3 linked regions of the Pelodiscus sinensis genome follow. The protein of the gene in region 1 interacts with the protein of each later gene in a biochemical or structural test. Links are inferred from orthologs where the notes say so. Each region holds a gene or a part of one and is shown in the gene's direction. Other genes may lie near its edges. The genes, in order: KDR, SHC2 and HSPG2.

Evidence for each region.
Region 2: the proteins of KDR (region 1) and SHC2 form a complex in vitro, tested with the Homo sapiens proteins (2 studies listed by BioGRID). The link is inferred for Pelodiscus sinensis from reciprocal best matches to the Homo sapiens genes KDR and SHC2.
Region 3: the proteins of KDR (region 1) and HSPG2 form a complex in vitro, tested with the Homo sapiens proteins (2 studies listed by IntAct). The link is inferred for Pelodiscus sinensis from reciprocal best matches to the Homo sapiens genes KDR and HSPG2.

Annotation. Positions count from the first base shown.
Region 1 is NC_134715.1:85,100,849-85,108,392, forward strand, and holds the start of KDR (vascular endothelial growth factor receptor 2), read left to right. Parts: upstream 1-4,539; 5' UTR 4,540-4,704; coding exon 4,705-4,768; intron 4,769-7,544. UniProt on the Homo sapiens protein: Tyrosine-protein kinase that acts as a cell-surface receptor for VEGFA, VEGFC and VEGFD. Plays an essential role in the regulation of angiogenesis, vascular development, vascular permeability, and embryonic hematopoiesis.
Region 2 is NC_134729.1:15,712,240-15,719,486, reverse strand, and holds the start of SHC2 (SHC-transforming protein 2), read left to right. Parts: upstream 1-4,210; 5' UTR 4,211-4,787; coding exon 4,788-5,345; intron 5,346-7,247. UniProt on the Homo sapiens protein: Signaling adapter that couples activated growth factor receptors to signaling pathway in neurons. Involved in the signal transduction pathways of neurotrophin-activated Trk receptors in cortical neurons.
Region 3 is NC_134733.1:4,171,532-4,179,263, reverse strand, and holds the start of HSPG2 (basement membrane-specific heparan sulfate proteoglycan core protein), read left to right. Parts: upstream 1-4,680; 5' UTR 4,681-4,839; coding exon 4,840-4,890; intron 4,891-7,732. UniProt on the Homo sapiens protein: Integral component of basement membranes. Component of the glomerular basement membrane (GBM), responsible for the fixed negative electrostatic membrane charge, and which provides a barrier which is both size- and charge-selective.

The DNA of each region.
Region 1 (7,544 bases):
AATAGACAACTAATTTTTGATTGGGGCCACTCCAAAATTTTGGTAAGTGGTTAATTGTGCTGCACTGTCCCCACCTCCAGCAAAATCTCTCAGCTCCCATTGGCCAGTCAGGGGCTCCTAAATCCACTAAACAAAGTGACCTGATCTGCAGAAGTGTTGAACATTCAAACATCCCAGTAAAGTCAATGGGAATTTTTGATGCTCAGCACCTCTGAAAATCAGACCATTTTTAAATAGGTAAAATGGGGATTTAGTGCCTAAATGTATGTAGGTGAAATCAGTGGGGGTTAGATGTCTAAATATCATGGAGGATCTGAGCCCTGGTGCTTAGCCATACTTATGTTCATGTGCAGTCTGCATTTGTGCTGCCGTGCTGATAGCCTTGCATTCTGTGCTGCTGGTGCTACTGGGTTGAAGTGGCCCATTGGGAAGATATACACAGAGGCCATTTATAGAGCTCCTGGGCTAAAGCAGCCAAGGCTATGAACCTCAGCACCAGTCCATATCTTCCCCAGGATGTTGTTTGAAATAATTAAGAAAACAAAAGGCTGCTTGTCTGCCCTGCTGCTGCTGGCTGTCCGGGCCAGGCTCCTAAAGCCAGGGTCCTGGCTGGCTGCAAAGTGCTGAGGAGTCGTGACTATGTCAGAGGGGAGAGGGAAGGGGGAATGACTCAGGGGAGCTGCCAGCCTCTGGCCTGATCCCTTTCCAAAAGTCTTTGCTGTTTCTTTGTGTCTTGTATTTAATGAGGTTTTGGCCATCACAGCAGCAGATGCATAAACAAAAGCATGTTGGCCCCTGTTTAGCTAAGGGGAGATGTTTGTCCTCCCCCATTTACACATATCTTGCCCATTGATTGTTTTCAAAATACAGGGTTTTCCTAGTTTAGAGCCTGAGGGAGAGAGAAATGGTTTTTATTAAACTACTGCAGGGAAACAGGTTGACTCTCCAGGGAATAACAACAACAACAAAAAACAAAACAAGGTGATTTGTTGGGAGCCTTCCGTAAGTCCCCTCCAAGTCTGACAAATTATCTCATCTGTGCCACTCTATAAAGAGCCTTCTAGTTCCTGTTTTCGGAGGAAGGCAGAATCAGGCAATCTGAGTCTACTGGATCCTTTAGTCATGAGCTCTCACATGAAGGGCTAAGATGTTCTGTTATGGTCAAGATACATTCAGGCTATGTCTACACTACCAGTTTTCTCTGCAAAAAATATGCTAATGAGGGATTCATTTGCATGAGTCACAATCTCATTTGCATATTTTCTGACGATCTGTTTTTGTGCTAGGGTTTTTGCACAAAAACAAGCAGTGAGGACATTTTATTTTTGCGCAAAAACCCCTTTTTCCACAAGATCGGTAAACCTCCTTTTTTGGGGCATAAGGATCTTGTGGAAAAAGGAGTTTTTGCTCAAAGAGAAAATGTTCAAACTGCTTGTTTTTGCGCAAAAACCACAGTGCAAAAACAGATCAGCAGAAAATATGCAATTGAGATTGCGACTCATGCAAATGAGGCCCTCATTAGCATGCTTTTTGCCGAGAAAACTCGTAGTGTAGACGTAGCCTCAGTGCAGCAACGGGGAAGGCACTCAGGAAGCCAACTATAAGCCTCTGCTTCTCTGGCAGTCCATCTACTTTAGTGTCCTGTTTTTTGACAGTGGCCAGTGCCAGATGTTTCAGGGAGAATGAACAGAACAGGCTGATTTATTGAGTGATCCATCCCCTGTCTTCCCATCCCAACTTCTGGCAGTGAGAGGGCTACGGACACCCAGACCATGGCGTTGAGTCCCCGACCATGTTAGCTAATGACCATGCCCTCCATGACCTTATCTAATTCTTTAGCACAGTTTTACTTTTGCCCTTCACAAGATCCTTTGGCAATGAGTTCCACAGGCTGACAGCATTGGGTGAAAAAATACTTCCTTTTTAAAAAAAAATCTTCCGCCTATTAATTTCATTAGGTAATCACCAAGTACCGTAAAATCTCGAATATAATGCACAATTTTCCCCCGTTTTTTTTAGCATCAAAGTCGGGGTGCGCATTATTTATAGGAGGTTTTTAAAAAAGTTTTAAACTCACCCTCAGCAGGCATGAGCTGGGCGGGGCTGGGCTGAGCTGGGGTGGGGTGGGGCCCCGCAGGCGCGAGCTCAGCGTGCTGTCAGCTGGGCGGGGGACACCCCCCCCCAGCAGGCGCAAGCTTGGCATGCGGACAGCTGGGTTGGAGAGGCTCCCCCAGCAGGTGTGAGCTCAGCCTGCATGAGTTCAGCTGGGCAGGGGGACCCCGCAGCAGGCGCGAGCCCCTTCCTTCCTATGCATACCTTAAAATCTCGAGTATAATGAGGGTGCGGATTATAGATAAGAGTTTAGTTTATTCAAGAATTTTGACCTTTAAAAGGCGGATGCTCATTATACATAGGTGCACATTATACTCCAGATTTTACAGTATCTTGTTATGTGAAGAGGTAAATAACACTTCCTTAATTTGTTCTTTACCAGAACATCCAAAAAGCTGTGGCAAAAGTCACCTTCCTCCCCTGCTATTCAGCCCACATCACTGACTTATTTGTTTCCAGGGATGATCACAGTGTGCTAGACACTAGGGATGTAAAGGGTTAAGTGGGTAACTGGTTAACTGGTGGCCTGGCTGGTCTATGCTGAATTGCTGTGGGCCCAGCCCCGCTTGAGCAGTCCCCCAGGCTCCACCATCCATGGCACAGTTGGTTCAGTCATCCCAGCTTGGGCGGAGCAACCCAGGGTGGAGTAGGAGTTACTGTGTGCAGGGGGCTGGTCCAGCCTGGCTGGGCTGGAGAGACCCCCTTGTCTGTGGGATCCTGGTTAACCCGCTCAATATAACGTTTAACCATTTAACTTTTAAAAAGGGATTTTACATCCCTACTGGACACTGTACAAACAGAAAGGAAGGCACAGTTGCTGTCCCCACTACAAAGATTTTACAATTTAAAAAGGGAGACAAAGGCTCTTTAAAGAAACACATAAGCAATGTGCCCAATGTGGTGATTGGCCTTCCCTTGAGTAGCTTGCTTTTTTGTTTGTTTGTTTGTTTGTTTCACAAACATACACCCTGTCTCCAGTTGCCTCTCAATCTTGTCTTGCAAGAAGGGAGCTGGTTAAAAGGTGGAGACAGGAACCATATGCAGTAGTACTATATGTAGACAGGCTGTGACTGCCAGACATTAAAAGTCTATGTAGGACTTGTGGGGGAACAGGAGTGCCTGGGCAGAGAACAAGTGCAGAGGGAGCCCAGTGATACACTTGTCTACACATACTGCTGCATAGATTGATGTCCTGGGATTCGATTTAACGTGTCTAGAAAAGACCTGCTAATTTGATCGCTGATCACGCTCCTGTCGACTCTGATAATCCACTGGACCAAGAAGAGAAAGGGAAGTTGATGAGAGAGTTTTTCCTGTTGAGCCCTCAAAGTAGGGATGCTGTGGTAAGTTGTAGCTGTAGCTATTCATGTAGCTAGACTTGCGTATCTTAGTTTGACATTGCTCGCTAGTCTGGACTTGGCCTATATGAGCCTGCCTGGAAACCCACAAGATCCTATTTGATATGAATAACAGAGACTGGACCAGAGAGGGCACCTTAGGCATTAGGTCTGAAGAGCCCCCACTCTTTACTGCACCACCTCCAAGGACCCAAATGCTTACAATAATTGCTCACTTAGAATTGCAACTTTTTAATCCAAGGCTCTGTACAGAGGGTATTTGCAAGTTTTCCTTTTCCTTCCAGCCCAAGTAAAATATCCTTTCCCTTAGCTGTGATGTCTGAGTAGTTTGGGAACCCCCCAGGGCTAGTGCTTACAAGATCTTGCTGCTGAAGCACATATAGTTTATGTTCAGGAATTGTACTTGAAGCCAGCAGTCTTTAACTGGCTATATGATCCAAATTGATTGTCTCTGGGCTGTTATTCTCTAATAAAGCCTGCTGACTGGGATGGATTAAGCAAAATGCATCAGTGTTTGCAGTGAATCTCATAGACTTTAGGATCAAAAGGGACCATCATGATCTAGTTGCCTGCACATTGCAAGTTGCAAAATTCTCTCCCATTCCTGTAATTAGTGGTGCCGTGGCAATGCTGAAGGTGGAAATCATGGATTTGGGTTGTCATTATTGTTTCAAGCCAGGTAGTGTGGCAGTACCTGCAGCACCCCCATTCCAACACCTATGTCTGTAATTAAACCCCAGGCTCTGAAGTCCTCAAATCATGATGTTAAGACTCTGCAGGATCAGCCAAGTGCTTAAAGAAGCAGATGCACCAGCCCCCTCCATGGTTAAGCCCCACTGAAGGCAGGGGAGGTGAGAGGCCGAGGGTTGGTCACTCGATAAAAGCCCATCTGTCTGAGCGCTGCAAGCTGGGGGCGAAGGGCGCTGCTGGGCCACTACACTGCAGCGGGCTGAGCGGCCACGTGCGCCCAGGCCCCAGGGGAGGCGGGGCGAGGGGAAGGCCGGGGGCGGGCAGGTGGGAGGCACCGCAGGAGTCTGTCTCCTCCCCCGGAATAAAGAAGAGGCGCTGCGGGCGCCGGCTGCGATGCCCTGGCACAGCCCCAGCTCGCGCGGAGCGGCCCTGCCCGCACCCAGGGCGCAGAGACTCGCCCCAGCGGCACCAGGATTAGCGCCCGCCCGCCCGCTCTGCGCACAAGGCGCCGCTGGCAGCAGCCGGAGCCCGCTCCCGGGGGGCGATGGAGGACGCGGTGGCGGTGGCGCTGGCGCTGCTGCTGTGGCTGGGGAGCCCGCCGGCTGCAGGTGAGGGGCGCGCGGGGAGCCCGGGGGGTTCCGGCCCATGGAGCGCAGATGCGGGGAGACCAGGCTGGGCAGGCGCGCCGGGAAGTGCCAGAGCCTCGGGGCAGATGCTCTGATGGGAGCAGCCGGGCGAGGGCTAACCCCGGAGATGCAGCAGGGCCCGATCCTGCTGCCGTGGGAAGCGACGGGAGGTTTGTCCCAGCCCCCAAAGCGAACCGCATGGAGCCAGAACATAGGGACTGGGGCAGGCGGAATAAACCCCCCGGGGAAATCCTGCCCCTGTTGAAGTCAATGGGGGGTTTGGTCTTGGCTTCAGTAGAGGGAGGATTTCACCCTATGCCCCTGGCTTGTGTTGCCTGGTGACCTGGGGACGGTCTTCTTGGGTGAGTTGAGAAAGGGAAGCCAAGGGAGTCACCCCCATTTATAGCTCCAGCTGAGATTTTGCCTACGGAGCTTGTTAAAGGTCTTAGCCTTGGCCATGGCCTCCTCCTTCCCCTGAGGTCTCCAGAGGAAGAGGCTGTTCCTTATTCCTGCTCAGGTGCTGCAAAGGACAGGACATCCTGTGCCTTGCACGAGAGAATAGGCAGGTGCACAGGCCATGGCTTTACCAGGAGAATTTGGAGTGACCATGCAGGCTGATCAGCATGTGTAGAGATGGAGCCATAATTTCATCCCTGCATCTTTTGTAGAAAACTCACCAAGCGCCAGGCAGTTTTGCCAAACTTTCCCATGGCCAAGGCAGATCTTAACGAAAAGGGGGGAATGGGGAAACAAGATGGGGGAAAAGGAGTTTCCTTCTGTCTGTGAGGAGCTAACAATATGCTGTGCAAGACACAAAATACAACTAACTCCTGCCTCTACAGCCTAAACAAGAATGAGTGGAGTGCCTGGAAATAATCACCTGTTCACTATACCGTTGTCTTGGGAATAAGTGGTACAAAATTCTTGAAATTCAACATGATACATTTATGCTATTCTCTTTCTCATTAAAGGAGGCTATTTAGACTGAGACTAAGCCCAGTGATAACAATCATACTGAAATTAATATTTTAGCAGAAATTAAATAAATTGGGATGACTTGGAAGTTAACTAAAATAATGCCTGTGTCTAACACAAAAATAACCTTTTTTGGCTATTCTAATATGGATATTCATATAATTAAAATTATGCTTGTGTTTGGAACTCAAACATTTTGACTATTATAATATGGATATTAATTTAATACCAAACATTTGCATGTTTACACAACAAGTAATACTATTTTATTGATCCTCATATTTGTATATCATGTTTTTTTTGAAGTGCATATGTAAGTTACCAATGTATTTTCTTTTGGAATACTCTCCTTAGAGATATGCATAAGAGTAATTTTAGTTCATGGCATGATGTTTCACCTTGAAGAAAACAATCTAGCCATACAATGGTCAGTTTGACTAAGGCTGAACATTCTTGACTAAATGGAGCTTATTTTACTTTAGTTTTTACGTCTAACAAAGCAACACTGAATGAGAATAAAATCTCAGTTTTAGTATCGAACACTTCTAGGGACTCTTATTTAGCTGTACACTAGTTTTGTTGAAGGCACGCAAATGGGAGGAGGATTTAGTCCAGAAAGATTTAAACCTGTTTGCTGGACGATTAGATTAGATAAATCATTATTTGCAAATCCTATGATAAAGAGTAAGTTATAAATTTGATTTGATTTTCCTTCTTAATTCAAATTTTTACCTTAGTGATGGCTTTCTACAGTAAAGTGCAACAGAAATCAATTATCTGAACCCTATTGTCAAAGAATCTCTGTAGGAAAGGTTTGATAAAAATATGATGAAATTGTGGCGAGATAGTGAAGCCCCTAGCTCTAGGATGACTTTACTGTCAGTGAGGCAGAGCTCCACAGCTGCTTGGCACTACAGCCAGGGCAGAGCTTTGTAGCCACCTGGCTCCACAGCTGGGGCTGGAGCTCTGTGGCTGGGGTGGAGGGATGGGGACAGAGCTCCGCGGCCCAGGCCAGAGCTCCCTGGCTGCTGGGGCTGGAGTTCTGTGGCTGCTGGAGCCAGAATGCAGCAGGAGCTCCATAGCTGGAACCAAGAGCTCTCTGGCTGCCGCTGGGGTCAGAGCTCCCTGGCCAGGGCCAGGCCTGGCTGCTGCTGGGGCCAGGGAGCTCAGCTGGGGCCAGAACTCCCTGCCATGCTGTCTCTCCTCCCCCACCGCACATACACACTCTGGACTCCCGGTTGAGTCGCCGGTGCCCCTTACAGTGTTCCTGCCAGACTGCCCTCTTCCTGGGCTCTATGGTCCAGGAATATCTGTGGTCTAGGATGGACCACGGACGATGCTGAACCAGGGAGTCCTGGTTAAAGGAGGTCCAGTCTGTACCATCGCTGTTCATTTTATTGTGCACGTTCACTCATTTGCTCCTTGTACATCTGAATTTGCATTAAGTACGCCGTGTTGTCTGGCCAAGGCAATGTTTCAGAACTTACTCAGATATGTGTACTCATCCTTTACTGACACAGAATTCCCAAAGGGAGTGAGTATGATAATAAATGGCAAAAACATCTCATTGTGTTCTTTGAAAGGTTGCATGGGCAGGACAGTTACATCAGAACAAATATTGGAAATTATCTGCAAGCTTTAACTGACATGAGTATTCTCCCCGAATGCCGTGGAACCAATCACCTAAATAAGGTTTGATAGAAACAGGTTTTCTTAGGGTTTCAAGCAACAAAGGAGATACATTAGAAAATGCGATAAAGGAAAACAAGACTGGGTCAAATGA
Region 2 (7,247 bases), on another chromosome or scaffold:
CGCCGGGTCTGGCTGGACGCATTCCTGGAGGTTTCATCGCACGACAGAATCTTCCGTTGGAGAGTCTGCGGTGCCTGGGGAGTCCAGGCCGGCCCTGGAGGCTGGTGACCCTGCGGCCCGGCCGAGCCGACGGCCCTGCCACGGTTCTGTGCGGGAGCAGCTTATTCCCACGGGCCCTGGGAGCCAGGCCCCGCTTGGCCAGTCCCCGTGAATCACACTCCCTGGGCCCAGAGGTGAGAGCAGCTGGCTGAGGGCGCCCAGGCCTGACCCTCTCCCCCTCCCCCCGTGCCCTTTAGGGAGACCGGGGGGGTTGGCCTCCCCCCATTCCGACTGCTGCTGTTTGTGGCTTGCTGCTCCCCGCCCATCACTGTCGGGGGGGGGGCGAGGAAAGTGCCCGGCGCCCCCGCCTGGTGCGGGGAGGGGGCAGAGCAGCCAGGGACCCCCGCCGTGGGCATTGCTCTGCTCCCGGACAGTGGCGGAAGGGGGCAGCAAGTAGCAAGCCATCAGTAGGAACTGGGGGAGGGCTTCAGCCCCCTGGCCTCCCTTGAGGGTCCCCTGGTTCCCTTGCACTCCTCCCCAGCCCCCTGCCCTGAGCCCCCCATGCTCCCCGCCCCGATTCCTGCCCCCCTCCACTCACCTCCCAACCCTCGGCCCTGGGCCCCTCCTGACTCCTGCACCCTCCACATTCCCCCTCTGTCCTGACCCACATCCACCCCCCAAACCCCTGTCCTGAGCCCCCCACATGCCACTCCACACTTGAGTTTCTTACAGGTGCTGTGATATCACACACCCCAAGCCCTGCTCTGAGCCCCCCGCGGGGGAGCAATACAACAGTACCTGTAAGTTACTGTCACCCCCAGCTAAGCCTCTCTGCACCTCTGCCTCTGCTCGAAGCAGGCAACAAGCTAAGGGTTACTCCATGCAGGCTGGAACATGGCAAGGACTGAATGGCAGCAGGACAACACTGCAAAACAGTTTACGAGAGGAAGTCAGCTAGAAGAAGCAGCTTCAAATGCAGCAGTGCCTACTCCATGTCCCTGGGCTTTCCGTGGAGGTCTTCCAGCCAAGTCCTGATCTCGCTTAGCTAACAGACACGGAGGAAAACAGAGTCAGCTGCACACTAGCAAATGCCTGAACGGATCTGGAATCACTTCTAGCAGAGCATATGACCCCTTCCCCCACACCCCGACTCAACCCTTTGAAGCACATTTGGAGCTTTAAAGAACATCAGAGCCCTTCTCCCTTCCAGGCTTTGGAGGTTGGTTAAGAAAAGAAAACAACTAGAACCAAGGAGAGAGAAGCATTTCTTAATATGGCAACAGCAAATGTAATTCTATTACCTTGATTTATTGATCGCACTCAGAGCAATTACTGGCTTTCGTCCCATCACCTGCCTGGAAGAGAGAGAAAGAGGCAGAGAGGAGAAGCAGAAAACAGAGACGCTGGCACATGCAATGTGGAGTTTGAAAACAAGGCTTTGATTCTTAATTCATGTGTCATTAGCGATATCATCTATCTGCTCCCCCCACGCCTCTTTCTTGGCGGGGGAGGGGAGTTAGCGAGCCTAGCAGGTTCTGTCGGTTGCCTGTCTCCCTTTCATCATCGTCTGCAGAGGAAGCTCCTAGGTGGATTGGGAAAATAATTAGATTTCAATTTGTTTAAGGGGTGGCACCATATGGCCAAATTGGAACCAAAACACGGGCTCGGTGACACCCACCGCTTCACAGAGCCCCAGGCCACGGGGACGTGTGCGTGACGCCAGCTGGAAACAGCTTTGTGAAAGAGGTAAACATCCCTCTGCCAGGCAAACAGGGCATCAGAGCACCATTGCTGGAGAGTGACAGCGAATAGGAATGAAAGTGACTCGTCTGTTTTCACGCCCTCCCCCACACCCTGTGCAAAGACTGGACAGGCTTGTGAGGAAGAGGCTTGGGAAATCTAGGTTCAGTTCCCAGTTCTGCCACAGAAGACCTGCATGACCTTGGGCAAGTCACTTAATTTCTCTGTTTCTTGGTTGCCCGTTCATACCATGGGGATATCACTTCCTCACATCTCATGGCTGGTGTGAAGCTAAATTCATCAGTGTATTTAAGATGCATGAACACTGCGGTGACGGGAAGCAGGGGAAATTGCCTTTGTAGTGCGCTAGCCAGCGGAGAGCTGTATTCCATCCGAAATGGAGAGAGAGTGTTGGATTTGCAAATGAATTCCAGTTCCGCTGTCTCCCTTTGTAACCGGGCTTCGAAGTGCTCTTGTGGCACTTTCCAATCCATGGCTGAAGGTCCAGGGAGGCCGACGTGTTCCCCCACTGGTTTGTGTCTGCGCTGGTCAAAAAGGCGACCACGACATTAGGGACCATCAGCAGAGGGGTAGAAAACAAAACTGAAAAGATCACAGTGCCGCTCTGTGAATCCATCCTGTGCCCAGCCCTGGCGTACTGGTTTATGTGCGTTACCGTCCCTGATGTCTGAGCTGTGTCCCTGTGCCGGGGCGTCTGCTCTGGCCCTTTAAGGGCTAAAACCCAGCCCTGGGAGAAGGCTGAGGGGGTGGAGCCCACAGCTGGGGCAGGTACAGCCAATGAGGGCCCAGCTGGTGCTGTATAAATAAGGGCTCCTGGAGGCAGGAGACAGACTCCTGGTTGCTCCACTTGGGTCTTGGATGCTGGGGAAATGAGAGGCCTGGCCTGGCTCGGCTCTTGGGCTGCAGGGCCTGAGGGGATTAGGGCTGCTAGGTGGCAGCAGGTCCACCCGCCCTTACCTATGATGAGTGGCTGTTTCAGGCTGCAGTTCCCCTGAGGCAGGGGTGTGATGATGCCTGGCAGTGGGTCACTGAGGCAAGGTGGGTGTGGGGGAATTGGGGGTCCTGAGGGAGGGGAGGACCCAGAGAGCAGGGGCACTGACCTAGGCCAGTACTAGGAGGGAAGGGCCAAGGGGCTGAACGGCAGCAGACCTGTGCCAGAGACTGGGATCCTGACCAGCAGAGGGCGCTCTGATGCAGGGAGCTGGTTCCCTGCCTGGCCAGAGGGAGGCGCTGGTGAGCGCGTGGCCCTTTGTCCTCTAGTGCAGAGCCCGTCGGATTTGGCCCAGAACCATGCTAGTGACTCGACTAGTTGCCGTCTCTTCTATCAGAGGCAGCAAGGGGGGAGCAGGAGCCGGTGCTGGGGGGAGCTTGCTGAAAAAGTGGCTCCCCCCAGCACTGTCTCTGTGGGGGGTAGCAGGGGAAAGGGGGCGAGTGGGGCTGAGCAGTCCTGGCTCAGGCTGGGTCCCCGATGCTGCGGCTCTGCTTTGTAACCAGCGTAAGAGCCTGGCGGTTTAGTGCAGCGGAGAAGCAGCGCTGTGGCGAATCCCCTTATCGACTGGTCGATGGACATGCCAGCGATTGGCTTGCTAAGCGCTACTGACATCCCCGTGCTGGCGCGTGTCACGTCCGTGGCTGGGCGGGCGAGGGAGCCCCTGTGGCTGTGGCTAGACCCTGCGACGGTGTCGCTCGGGTGGGTGTGTGGGCAGCCGGCGACGGGAGGCTGCCGTGGGGAACTGCCATCTCCCAGGAGACACGTGGGGCCGAATTCTCTAGCGGTGCCCCCTGACGGTGCTGGGTGGCACCCGTGGGCCCCAGCAAGAGGCTCGTTCCCCACAGAGGTCGGGGTCCATCCCAGACACTTAACAGAAAAAGCCCAGGCAAGGCCCAAGCCGTTCGTGGCAGCTCCTCCAGGTGGGTGAGCCGCTGAGCAGGCGAAGGGGCCCACAGTGAGCCGGTTGCACGGGATGTAACTGGGGGCAGAATCTGACCCACAGCTGTCCTGACATTATCTCGTCAATTGCTGCAAAATGCCGTCAGTGGCTGATTCATTCTCTAGTCCCTTCCCTACTGGCTGGAGAACTAGTGCCTGTCCGGTCCCTGGCTGGTTGGGGGGGGCCCCTCTCCCAGGTCCCTGGCTGGTTGGGGGGGGGGCCCTCTCCCAGGTCCCTGGCTGGTTGGGGGGGGGCCCTCTCCCAGGTCCCTGGCTGGTTGGGGGGGGGGGCCCTCTCCCAGGTCCCTGGCTGGTTGGGGGGAGCCCCTCTCCCAGGTCCCTGGCTGGTTGGGGGGGGGGCCCTCTCCCAGGTCCCTGGCTGGTTGGGGGGGGGCCCTCTCCCAGGTCCCCACGGCTTGGTAACATTCTCTCGAGCTCATCCACAAACGGCTGGGCTCCTGCACGAAGCGCCAGGTGACCGTCTCTGGCGAGCGACCTGCAGGAGGTCGGACTAGCTGATTGGAACAGTCCGTCGGGTTTCATGAAGCGGCTCTATAATCCCTGGGGGTGGGCTCCCCGTTCCTTCCCCCTCCTGCGGGCTCCGGGGGGTCCCGTTGCTTGGCAGAGACAAGGGGGTGCAGGGGAAGGCCATCAGGCTAGCTTGCTAGTGCCGGTGGCTGGCGAGCCCCAGCCCTGGCAGGGTCCCTGGGTGGGAGGGGAAGCTGGAAGACGAAGCCCGTTACCCCAGGACCTGCCGAGCGGGCAGAGCCACCCCCAGAGGCTGCGTGCGACAGGGACTCCTCCCTCGGCCTGTTGGCCGACTGCTCTGCCTCTGTCCAGTGCTGACAGATGCCGTGTGCGGCGGGGGGAGCCGAGCCGGCCAGGCCTGCGGCAGCACTGCTGCTGAGCAATAGCATCATGACATCATTGTGTGAGCGGAGCCTCCCCCGGGAGGCGGGGGGTGGGGGCCGGAGGGGCAGGCCAGCGAGCGGGCGCGGCGCAGAGCACGCCCGGCCGGCACTCTAAAAGCACTTAGCCAGGCAGGCAGCGGCAGGGCATGCTCCCGGAGCCCAAGTATGGCCGCTTTCGCAATGGCTCAGTGACCCCCTCGGAGGACCCAGCCATGAGCAGCCAGGTGGCGGCCGCCGCCCCGGCCCCCTCGGCGCCTGCCGCCCTGGCACAGCCTTGCCCGCCGCTGGGCGACGCCCGCTTGCCGGAGGAGCAGGAGCCCGGGACCACCTTCTGCATGCTCATCCCCAGGATCCCCCAGTGGAAGTTCTCCAGCCCCTCCGGCTTCCTGAGCCGCAGCCCCTCCAGCGCCAGCAAGGACCTGTCGGCCCCGGCCAAGCCGGGGGGCCCCGGAGAGGCTGGGGGGCCCTCCTCCGGCCTGGCCGCTGTCCTGAGCGCCTGCGAGCCGGTCTGCCACTCTCCCTGCTCCCTGCAGGTGATGAGCCGGTTCCGAGGCGGGGGCGGCAGGAAGGCGGCTCGGGTCGAGGGGGTCAAGCTGGCCGGCGAGGAATGGAACCGGAAAGGCAGCTTCATCAACAAGCCGGCGCAAGGCTGGCTCCATCCGGACGAGCGGGTCCTGGGACCGGGGGTCTCCTACATCGTCAGGGTAAGCCTGTTTCTCCAGCCTCCCCGCCCCTCGGGCCCACCTGGCTCTGGCTCCCGCGCTGAGCCAGCGGGCGCTGAACGGGGGCTGCGCTGCCCGGGCGCCTCTCGCTAGGAGCTGGCAGCTGGGAAGGGGCCAGGTGCCCCCGGCCATGGGGGGAGGGAGGTTTGGGGGCTTCCCCTGCTTGATCCCCAGAGTCGCGAGGGTCTCGCTCCTTCAAGTTCTCTTTGTTCAAGGCCCCACAGCCCAGCTGTCACCCGGCCTGGGGAGGGGTTGGTGTTGCATCGCCAAAGGCGGCCGCCGCTCCGCCCCGTCAGCTGGGACTTATCTACGGGCTGAGCCCTTTGGGGGAAACCTGGCCCCGGCCGGCCAATTGGCCCTGGTTTAAAACCCGCAGCACTGAGCCCTCGTCCTTCGCTGGGCAGGGGTCTCCAGGCACAACTTGATGAACTGAGTCCTAGAATTGGGGGGTGGGGTATTAACGCCTCCCCGGAGCCAGGAATGGAGAAACTGAGGCACAAAGCAGGGAGGGTTGCACAGTGGAACTGGGGTGAAGCCAGGAGCAGAGCCCAGCTCCCCGACTCCCAGGCCAGCATCAGCCACGGTCCCCCGGGCTCCTGTTCTCCTTCAGGCTGGCTTGACACCACAGCGTTGACTTCGGCCGAGCTGCTGGTCAGGGCAGAGTCTGCCTTCAAGTGTCTCCAAAGTTGTGTGGGCGGCTTGGCTGAGGGACGAGGGCCCAGGGGACTTGGGGAGCTGGGTTCGTTTCCCTGCTCCGCTACAGACTCCAGGGGTGAGTCGCTTAGTTTAGCTTTGCCTCAGTTTCCCTGGCTGTACGTGGTGGGGAGGGGAGGGGGTAATAGCCCCGCCTTCCAGGGGATTGTGAGAACTCCCTCGGAGGTGGGGAGGGGTTCAGCTACCATGGTGATGGGCTGGTTTGAGCTTTGGTTTCCAAAGGGCTCTGCCTTGTATCATTTCTGCCCCCCCACCCGCCCCAGGAAGCACTGTGGGGCGGTGACACCAGTGAGACCCCCCACGCCCTGGGACTGCAGGTCTTAACACTGAGGCCTGCGTGTGGCTTGAGGGGCCGGGGGTGCGTGTCCCACTGGGCCTGCGGCTGGGTCCTGACACGACGACTCTGATTTCAGGGCCCGGGGTGCTGGGAGCCAGGGGGAGCCTGCCCGGCCCGTGGGCGAAAGAGGCCCGGCGGGGCTGGCCGAGGCGGGAGCCATCTCCCCCTCGCGCGCCCGGGTGTGACCGCTGACCCCGCCGCGGGCAGAATCGGGCTGGAGGGGTTGTTTAGAAAGGAGCCAGATCTCCCCCACCACCTGAAAAGCACGCGGCCCCCCAGCAGGGTCTGAGGCATCTGGCCTGTCCATGCTCCGGCAGCCTTGTTTGCCCGGCTCCCAGCGTATATTCCCCAAGGGCCTCCCACCGCTGCTGGGCGCCTCACGCCCGGCTCCCGCTGCCGGGGGGCTGAGAGCGGCAAACGACGGGGCTTCCCTCCCCAGCCTGCTGGGCCCCCAGAACGGTGCACGCCCGGGCCCAGGCTCTAAGGTGTTCAGGCAGGTCGGGCTCTGGAGCCACCCGACCCTGGTGTGAGCTCCGTGGCCAGCCCGAGTCTCCGCCTGAGCCCTACTGCTGCTATTTCAGTGCCCGTGCGGAACTCGCGTGCGCCTGCCCAGCCAGCGCAAAGCCCGCGGGAGAGGCGAGAGCGCCCGGCGACGCGCGCAGGGTCGGGGCCAGCACATGCGAACGCGTCGAGACGGCAGAAGGCCGGGGCTGGGAAGGTCGGTCTCCAGCTGGGAGGGTCTGTTGCCACGGCACAAGGGATCTTTCTGGACAGGCCTGGGGCGGAGGACTGGGGCCCGCCCAGATTCACAGCCACGCACCGCGGAGCGTGCC
Region 3 (7,732 bases), on another chromosome or scaffold:
GGACCTCGACAGGCCCAGTCCTCACGGCAGGACCAAGCACCATCCAGATCAGGGCTACTCAATTTTGGAAGCCTCAGGGGCCACAGTGATACTCACGGCATGTAGCGAGGGCTGCAACTTAATCGTGGTTGTATAGACATGCAAATATATATGCAAATATATGCAAATAGCTTCTTTTATGCTGACAGGCATGAATACAAAGATTAAGGCAAGACTACACAACACGCAGGCCCCGTTTAAGTCACTTCTGCTGGTATTAATACAATGCAAGATTTACCCGATCTCCAACGGAACTTTTAATGAGCAATGACAGTCCAGGAATTTAATGACTAAAACGCATCTCAACAGAAGGCCATTATATCCACAACTTTTTTGTTTTGGCTCCCACCCATGGACTGCACGTTGAGCCCTGCGTAAACCCAAACCGCACCGCGGGCTGCAAACAAATGGGCCGTTGGCTGCATGACCATCCCTGGCAGGTGTCTGTCCAACCTGCTCTTAAATATCTCCAGAGATGGGGATTCCACAACCTCCCCGGGCAATTTATTCCAGTGTTTAACCAGCCAGACAGGCAGGAAGTTTTTCCTAATGCCCAACCTAAACCTCCCTTGCTGCAGTTTAAGCCCATTGCTTCTTGTCCTGTCCTCAGAGGCCAAGGAGAACAATTTTTCTCCCTCCTCCTTGTAACACCCTTTTAGATACTTGAAAACTGCTCTCATGTCCCCGCTCAGTCTGCTCCTTTCCAAACTAAACAAGCCCAATTCCTTCAGCCTTCCCTCATAGCTCATGTCTTCTAGACCTTTCATCATTTTTGTTGCTCTTTTCTGGACCCTCTCCAATTTCTCCATATCTTCCATGAAATGTGCTGCCCAGAACTGGCCACAATACTCCAATTGAGGGCTAATCAGCACAGAGTCGAGCGGAAGAATGACTTCTCGTGTCTTACTCACAACACTCCTGTTAATGCCTCCCAGAATCATGTTTGCTTTTTTTGCAATAGTGTCACCCTGTTGACTCATGTTTAACTTGTGGTCCACTAGGACCCTAAAACCCTTTCTGCCGTTCTCCTTCCTAGGCAGTCACTTCCCATTCTGTGTGTGGGACGGATTGTTCCTTCCTCACTGGAGCACTTTGCATTTGTCCTTATTAAACTTCATCCTGTTTACTTCCGACCATTTCTCCAGTTTGTCCAGATCATTTTGAATTTTGACCCTCTCCTCCAAAGCACTTGCAACCCCTCCCAGCTTGGCATCATCTGCAAAGTGGGGAGCTGCCTTGGCAAGAGGGGGCACCTCTGGGTGCCCAGGGGTGCTGGCTGCCCTACAGCACATGGGACGCTCCATGGAAACCCCGGGCCAATCGCAGCCCAGCTGGAGCACTGGAACGACTCCTCGCGCAGGCTGGGGAAACGCGCTCCGGTCACAGAAGAACCCGGAGCAGTGTGCTGCACCCCCGCCTACCAGCCGCCCCGGTTCCAGTGCCCTGCCCCTCGCGGCGGCAGCCGCTCTGGCCCCTCTGGAAAGTGGCGCCGAAGTCACGCGCAAGGTCCGGTTCTGCGGCACGTCGAGCGCTGGGCCAAGGGGATCGAAGCCCAGAGAGCTCAGCCTCCGAGCTGCCGAACCATCCCAGCTTCACCCCACTGCTCAGACCAGCTGGGGGGGGGAGCCTCTGGTGAGCCTGGCACCCTGCCTGCAAGGCCCAAGGCTCCCCTGCTGACACAGGCCAGGGCCGGACCTGGGCAATGTGTTTCCCCAGAGACACGCAGGCTGAGGCACATTGCAGGGCTGCTCTCTGGGCCGGGCAGGACAGGCCTTGGGGTCCGGGGCCAGAGCTGGTGCTGGGGGGCAGAGGAGAGGGGCTGTGAGGCAGGGGTCTCACGCCTGTGGGGGACTGGCAGCAGCCAGCGCTCCTGGGCCGGATTTGTCTCCCCCACGATGGGGCAGTGTCGCCCCATCGGGCCCTGGGGAGGGCGGCTGCGCAGGCCTGGCCTTGCTGCTAATCAGGCTGGGCTTCCCCTGCCTGGAGCAAAGGAACTTGTGGAACAATTGGGGGAAGCGCAGGACGAGTGAGTCACAGGAACCCAGAGAAGGTCGCGTCCGGCCAGGCCTGCTGGGACCAGGACAGCCCCCCGGCTCGGCAGAGTGCTCCACAGGGCACGGGGCCTCCCTGGGCCCTGACTGCACCCCTGGGCGCAGGCACAGCCCTGCCACTGCCAAGCGCCCTTAGCTCTGGCTCGGAGGAGCGGGGGGGGGGGGGGGAGGAGGAGGGGTCTGGCTTCTACGGCTGCTCCTGCAGTTTCCCTCCAGGCCCCCCTCCTCTGCCCCCCGCAGTCCCTCATGCAGAAAGTCCCCAGTTAATCATTGATGGCACCTGGAGCCCTGCAGGTCCCAGGGTGGTGCACGGAGGCCCCTCCCAGCCCGGGGGGGGGGGGTGAGCTGGGCATGCTGGGCAGGCGCTGCTGGGCGGGATGGGGGCTGCGAGACAGCAGCCGAGTCACTGGCCTTTTCGGAGATGGATAAAGTAATTATAATCCCCCCCACGAGACGATATCCTCCATCCCCTCCCCCACTCCTGGCCCATCCCCAGGGTAGGAGCCAGGAGCTGTGTGGCTGCCTGGGCCCTGCAGGCTCATGCCCCTCCCTGCTGCGTCCCAGAGGCAGCAGTAACCCCAGAAACATGAGGGGGGTCCTGGCTGGGCTCCCCTGCTCTGCGGGTTGCACTGGGGAGAGACAGGCAGGCCAGAGACAGCGTCACATGCCAACCCGATGGGCTCCAGTGCCCCACCCCCAGGCAGCGCGGGGGGCAGGAGGCTGCAAAGCCACCTCTGCGTTTTGTAGCAAACCGGCGGGGCTCCAGCTGGTCCCGTCCGCCCAGTGCCCGGTGCTGCCTGCCACGCCCAGGCCTGCAGCCCTCCTCAGTTCTAATGCCTGGCCTGGCGAGGTTTGCTCTGGGCTGTGGGCTTGCGGGCACCTCATCCCCCTCCCCAGAGCCGCCAGGAGGTGACCGTCCTGATCCAAGGTGGGGCCGGGGGCCCGTAGGGGGAGCTGCCCACTCCCTGACGGTAACGCACAGGCTGTGTCTAGACTGGCAAGTTTTTCCGGAAAATCAGCCGCTTTTCCGGAAAACTTGCCAGCTGTCTACACTGGCCGCTTGAATTTCCGGAAAAGCACTGACGATCTCATGTAAAATCATCAGCGCTTTTCCGAAAAAACTATGCTGCTCCCGTTCGGGCAAAAGTCTTTTTCTGAAAGGGCCAGTGTAGACAGCACAGGACTGTTTTCCACAAAAAAGCCCCGATCGCGAAAATGGCGAGTGGAGCTTTTTTGTGGAAAAGCGCGTCTAGATTGGCCACGGACGCTTTTCTGCAAAAAGTGCTTTTCCGGAAAAGCGTCCTGCCAATCTAGACGCGCTTTTCCAAAAATGCTTTTAACGGAAAACTTGTCTATTAAAAGCATTTCCGGAAAATTATGCCAGTGTAGACGTAGCCACAAGGTGCCCGTAAGAGAAGAGCCTACTACAGGGGCCAGCTGATGGGGTGAGCTCCTTTAGCGTAAGCTGGAGCAGCCCAGACTCGCAGTGCTGGAAGCCTCCCGCTCAGTCTCCCGCTGTGGCTCCTTTAGGGCAAGTCTCCCAGCATCCCCTGGCAATCAGATCCCGGTCCCAGTGCAGAGGAGAACCCTGCTGGGGGTGTCTGCCCACCCCCCAGCCTGGCACCCGCGTGGCGTATCTCATCCCTGCTCTGCGGCTCGCTAACCCAGCAGCTGCGCTGCACAGAGCCCCGGCAGGGTGTGAGTTGCAGGCCCGGGGAGGAAGCCATGGGAAACCAGCCAGTCGCAGTGAGAAAGGGTGCCCCCGGGAAACGAAGAGTGCGCGCCGTGGCCAGCTGTGCATGCTGCTTGCTTTGCCTGCTGCACCCCGCCCTAGCCTGGCCCTCGCCCCGGCTCCATGCACCTCCACCACGCTCAGCGAAGCAGGATCAGGAACTGCATCCTGCAGTCAGTCCTGCGCCGATCCTGCCATCAGGGGCCAATTCTAGGGGGGGGATAGGGGTCGGGGCCCTGTCCCCACCGGGTCAGCGAGGAAACCCGCCCACGCTGCTTTAAAGGGACTCGGCAAGAACGTGCCCCACACGTCAGCTGAGCAGACTGTCTGGACCGGGGCCCCTGGCTGCGTCCGCGTCTGCTGGGCAGGACACAAAGGGCAGGCCGGGCAGAGCGGTCAAGCCCCGGAGAGGGCAGGCAGCACGTCCGGTTGTTGCGAGTCCTTCGGTTGTAGGCCGTGGGGGTGGGTCACACACAGCAGGACACCGCGGGGCCTGCACACCTGAGGCCGGCCCCCAAGGCCTTGTGTTCTGCATCTGTGCAGCGCTGGGCGCCCAGGGGCGGCGGGGGGGGGGGGGGGGGCTGCAGCCGGCTCAGTCACTGACTAGTGGCAGAGTTTGCCCTGTGCCCCCTGCCTGGAGCCCTTGCGCCCAGCTGTGACCGCCGGGCTAGGAACTGGCTGAACAGCCCCAGCGAGATTCCCCCGATCCCAGGACTCCTGGAGCTGGGGGTTGAGGCGCAAGGCAAGCGATGGCCACGGAGCGGGCCCGGTCTGGTGTCCAGGGGGCCCCTCCCTGCTCAGGACGTGCCCCCTCCCCCCGCCGCGGCGCCCAGCTCCCTTCCGGAGTCGGGACTCCAGGCCGGGTTTGGGCGGCAGCCGGGAGGGAGCCGAGCTCGGGGCGCTGCTGGGACGGGGCAGCGCAGCGAAGTTGCCAGTGGCCGGAGCGGGCGCCCGAGCAGACAAAGGGCGGCGGGTCGCGGGCAGGACGCGCTGGGGAGCCGCGCCCGGAGCCGGAGCATGGGGCTGGGGGCGCCCTGCGCGCTGCTGCTGCTGGCGGCGCTGCTGCCGGTAAGTCCGGGCGGGGGCAGTGGGCGGCCGGGGCCCGCGGGGCTGGCGCGGGGCGCGGAACGTGGCTGCCCCGGCCCCGCGCAGCAGCAGCCCCGGCTCCGTGGAGCGGACGCGGCAAAGACCAGCCGCCTTAAAATAAAGCTCCCCCCACCCCCGGGTCCCGGGGCGCGGCTCCCCGGCGAGGGCCAGAGCAGCCCGGCCCGGGGGGCTGGGACACTCGGGGCACCTCCCGTGCGCACGTGGCTTGGGCCGGGGGAGGGGCACCCAAGGTGCCAGCCTGCCCCGGGCGAGCCCTGAGCGCCGCGGCTCAGCCCGGGTCAGGCGCGATCCCGGCTGCGCCCCGCTCCCTCCCCCCTTCCGACCAGCCGGCCTGCGCTGGGTGAGCGCTGCAAGGCGCTGGCTGGCCCTGCACGCGTCCTGCTGCCACCAGGCAAGTCTGAGGAGCAGGGAAGCCAGCGTGGGGGAAAGAGCCGGGAGGGTTTTTGGCCCCTTGGCAAGAGCTAGCTCCTGGTGGTGCCCCCTGCTGCTGCCACTGCTGGGTGTGGGGCTCAGTAGACACTGCACCCACTGGGCACCTCTGTCATTGCTAGCTATGTGGCAGAATCTACAGTGCACCCCTTCGGTACTGCCGGTACTGCCAGGTTCAGGGCTGGGTACTGCCGGGTGTGGGGCTCTCACTGCACCTTCTTCCCACCGCTACCAGTGCGGCATTGCTGGGTGTGGGACTCAGTAGACACTCCACCCATTGGGCACTGCTACCAGTACAGCATTGCCAGGTACGGGGCTGGTTAGACACTGCACCCATTGGGCACTGCTACCAGTACAGCATTGCCAGGTACGGGGCTGGCTAGACACTGCACCCATTGGGCACTGCTACCAGTACAGCATTGCCAGGTACGGGGCTGGCTAGATACTGCACCCATTGGGCACTGCTACCAGTATAGCATTGCCAGGTACGTGGCTGACTAGATACTGCACCCATTGGGCACTGCTACCAGTACAGCATTGCCAGGTACGGGGCTGGCTAGATACTGCACCCATTGGGCACTGCTACCAGTACAGCATTGCCAGGTATGGGGCTGGCTAGACACTGAACCCATTGGGCACTGCTACCAGTACAGCATTGCCAGGTATGGGGCTGGCTAGACACTGCACCCATTGGGCACTGCTACCAGTACAGCATTGCCAGGTACGGGGCTGGCTAGATACTGCACCCATTGGGCACTGCTACCAGTACAGCATTGCCAGGTACGGGGCTGGCTAGATACTGCACCCATTGGGCACTGCTACCAGTACAGCATTGCCAGGTATGGGGCTGGCTAGACACTGCACCCATCTGGCATTACTGATGCTGTTCAGTCCTGACTTGCCACCTCTGCTATCCCAGCCCTGGACCCCTCAGTCCTGGTGACCCTCCGCCCCCACCCAGAGGCCTCGGCTATCCCTATCCTGGCGCCAATTGAAGCTCTCCAGTGCCGGGGAGCGGGGGGCTCTGGGGCTGTTCCACAGTCTGTCCTGCCTGCTCTCCGCCCACGCGGCCTGCGCACAGCGCTGCGTGGGGAACAATGGGTAGCTCTGTGTCGGCGCGGCCGCAGGCCCTGAGAACATGCAGGCAGCCTGGGAGACTCTTCAGCCTTGCCAGGAGCCCGTCCCTCCAGCTTGACCCTCTGAGGGCGTGGGGGCCTCCCATCCAGGGCAGCTTAGGGGAGGGGTGAAGGCTGGAGCCCTGGCCGGGCACTGGACATGGTGCCCGGAGTGGCCTGGCTCTGTGTGGCCCCAGGCAGGGCATTGGCAGGGCGCAGAGGCCACTTGGACCACAGCGGAGCAGTGCATGCTGGGTAGTGAGAAGGGCCTGGCTACCCAAGCGGATCCAGGAGGGGCTGGTCCCCTGGTCTCCCCATCCCATGGCGCAGGGGGAGACGGGGACTTGCCAGTCAGTGACGCTGTGAATAGAACCCAGGAGTCCTGGCTGTGGGCTGGGCTGGGCTGCACTTTCTGGGGTGCAGGAAGCAGGAGCTGGGCTGGCCAGGGGCTCCTGGGGCCAGCGATTGTGAATGTGCCGGGGTGGGTGGAGGGATCCCCATGGCTTGGGGGCCGTGTGTGCTGGGCTGGAAGGGGACCCAGGAAGGGGCTTGGAGGGTCATAGTCACCAACAGCAGAGAGTGAATGGGAGGGGGGTCCTGTGAGTGGCAGATTCCCCCCTCCCATCCCCCCACACCTGCCCAGGCTTGTTCTCCAAGCAGAGTGTCCACAGCAGGTGGGGAGGGGCCTGGGGCTGGGGGAGGAGGCAGAGGAAGTGAGGGGAGGGGAGGCAGGATTGTAAACAAGGCTGGAAATAGAACAGGGATTGAGTGACTCTGCTGTAGTATTTATACAGAGCAGGAATCTCTCCCTGAGCCCGGCTTGCTCACCCGGTGCCCTCGGCTGGGACCAGGCAACGCGCTTGGTCGGCCGTGCCCTGGGATATGTGCCGCCTTCTTCGAGAAGCTAAAGCCGGGGCCAGGGGGCTCTTCCAGTCTCTAACCTAGAGCACGGCAGGGGAGCTGCCTGGAGGTGCCAGCCCTGTGCCCAGGGCACGTCTACCCCCCTGCGCTGCCTCCTCCCTTGGGAATCTCTCCTGAGCTGAGGTTAGAGATGTAGGGCTGGTCCTACCACTGCAGGGGACTGGGAAGCCCAGGCTCACAGTGCAGGGGGCATCCGACCAGGGGCTGCGGAGCCGGGAAAGCTGTTCCTGAGCTGCGCCAGTGGAGTCCTGTGGAGATGGAAATGGCTGTGGGGGCAGCAGAAAGACTCTGAGGCCTGGTCCGCCCTGCAGCCTTGCTCCCAGCAATGTGAGTGCCCC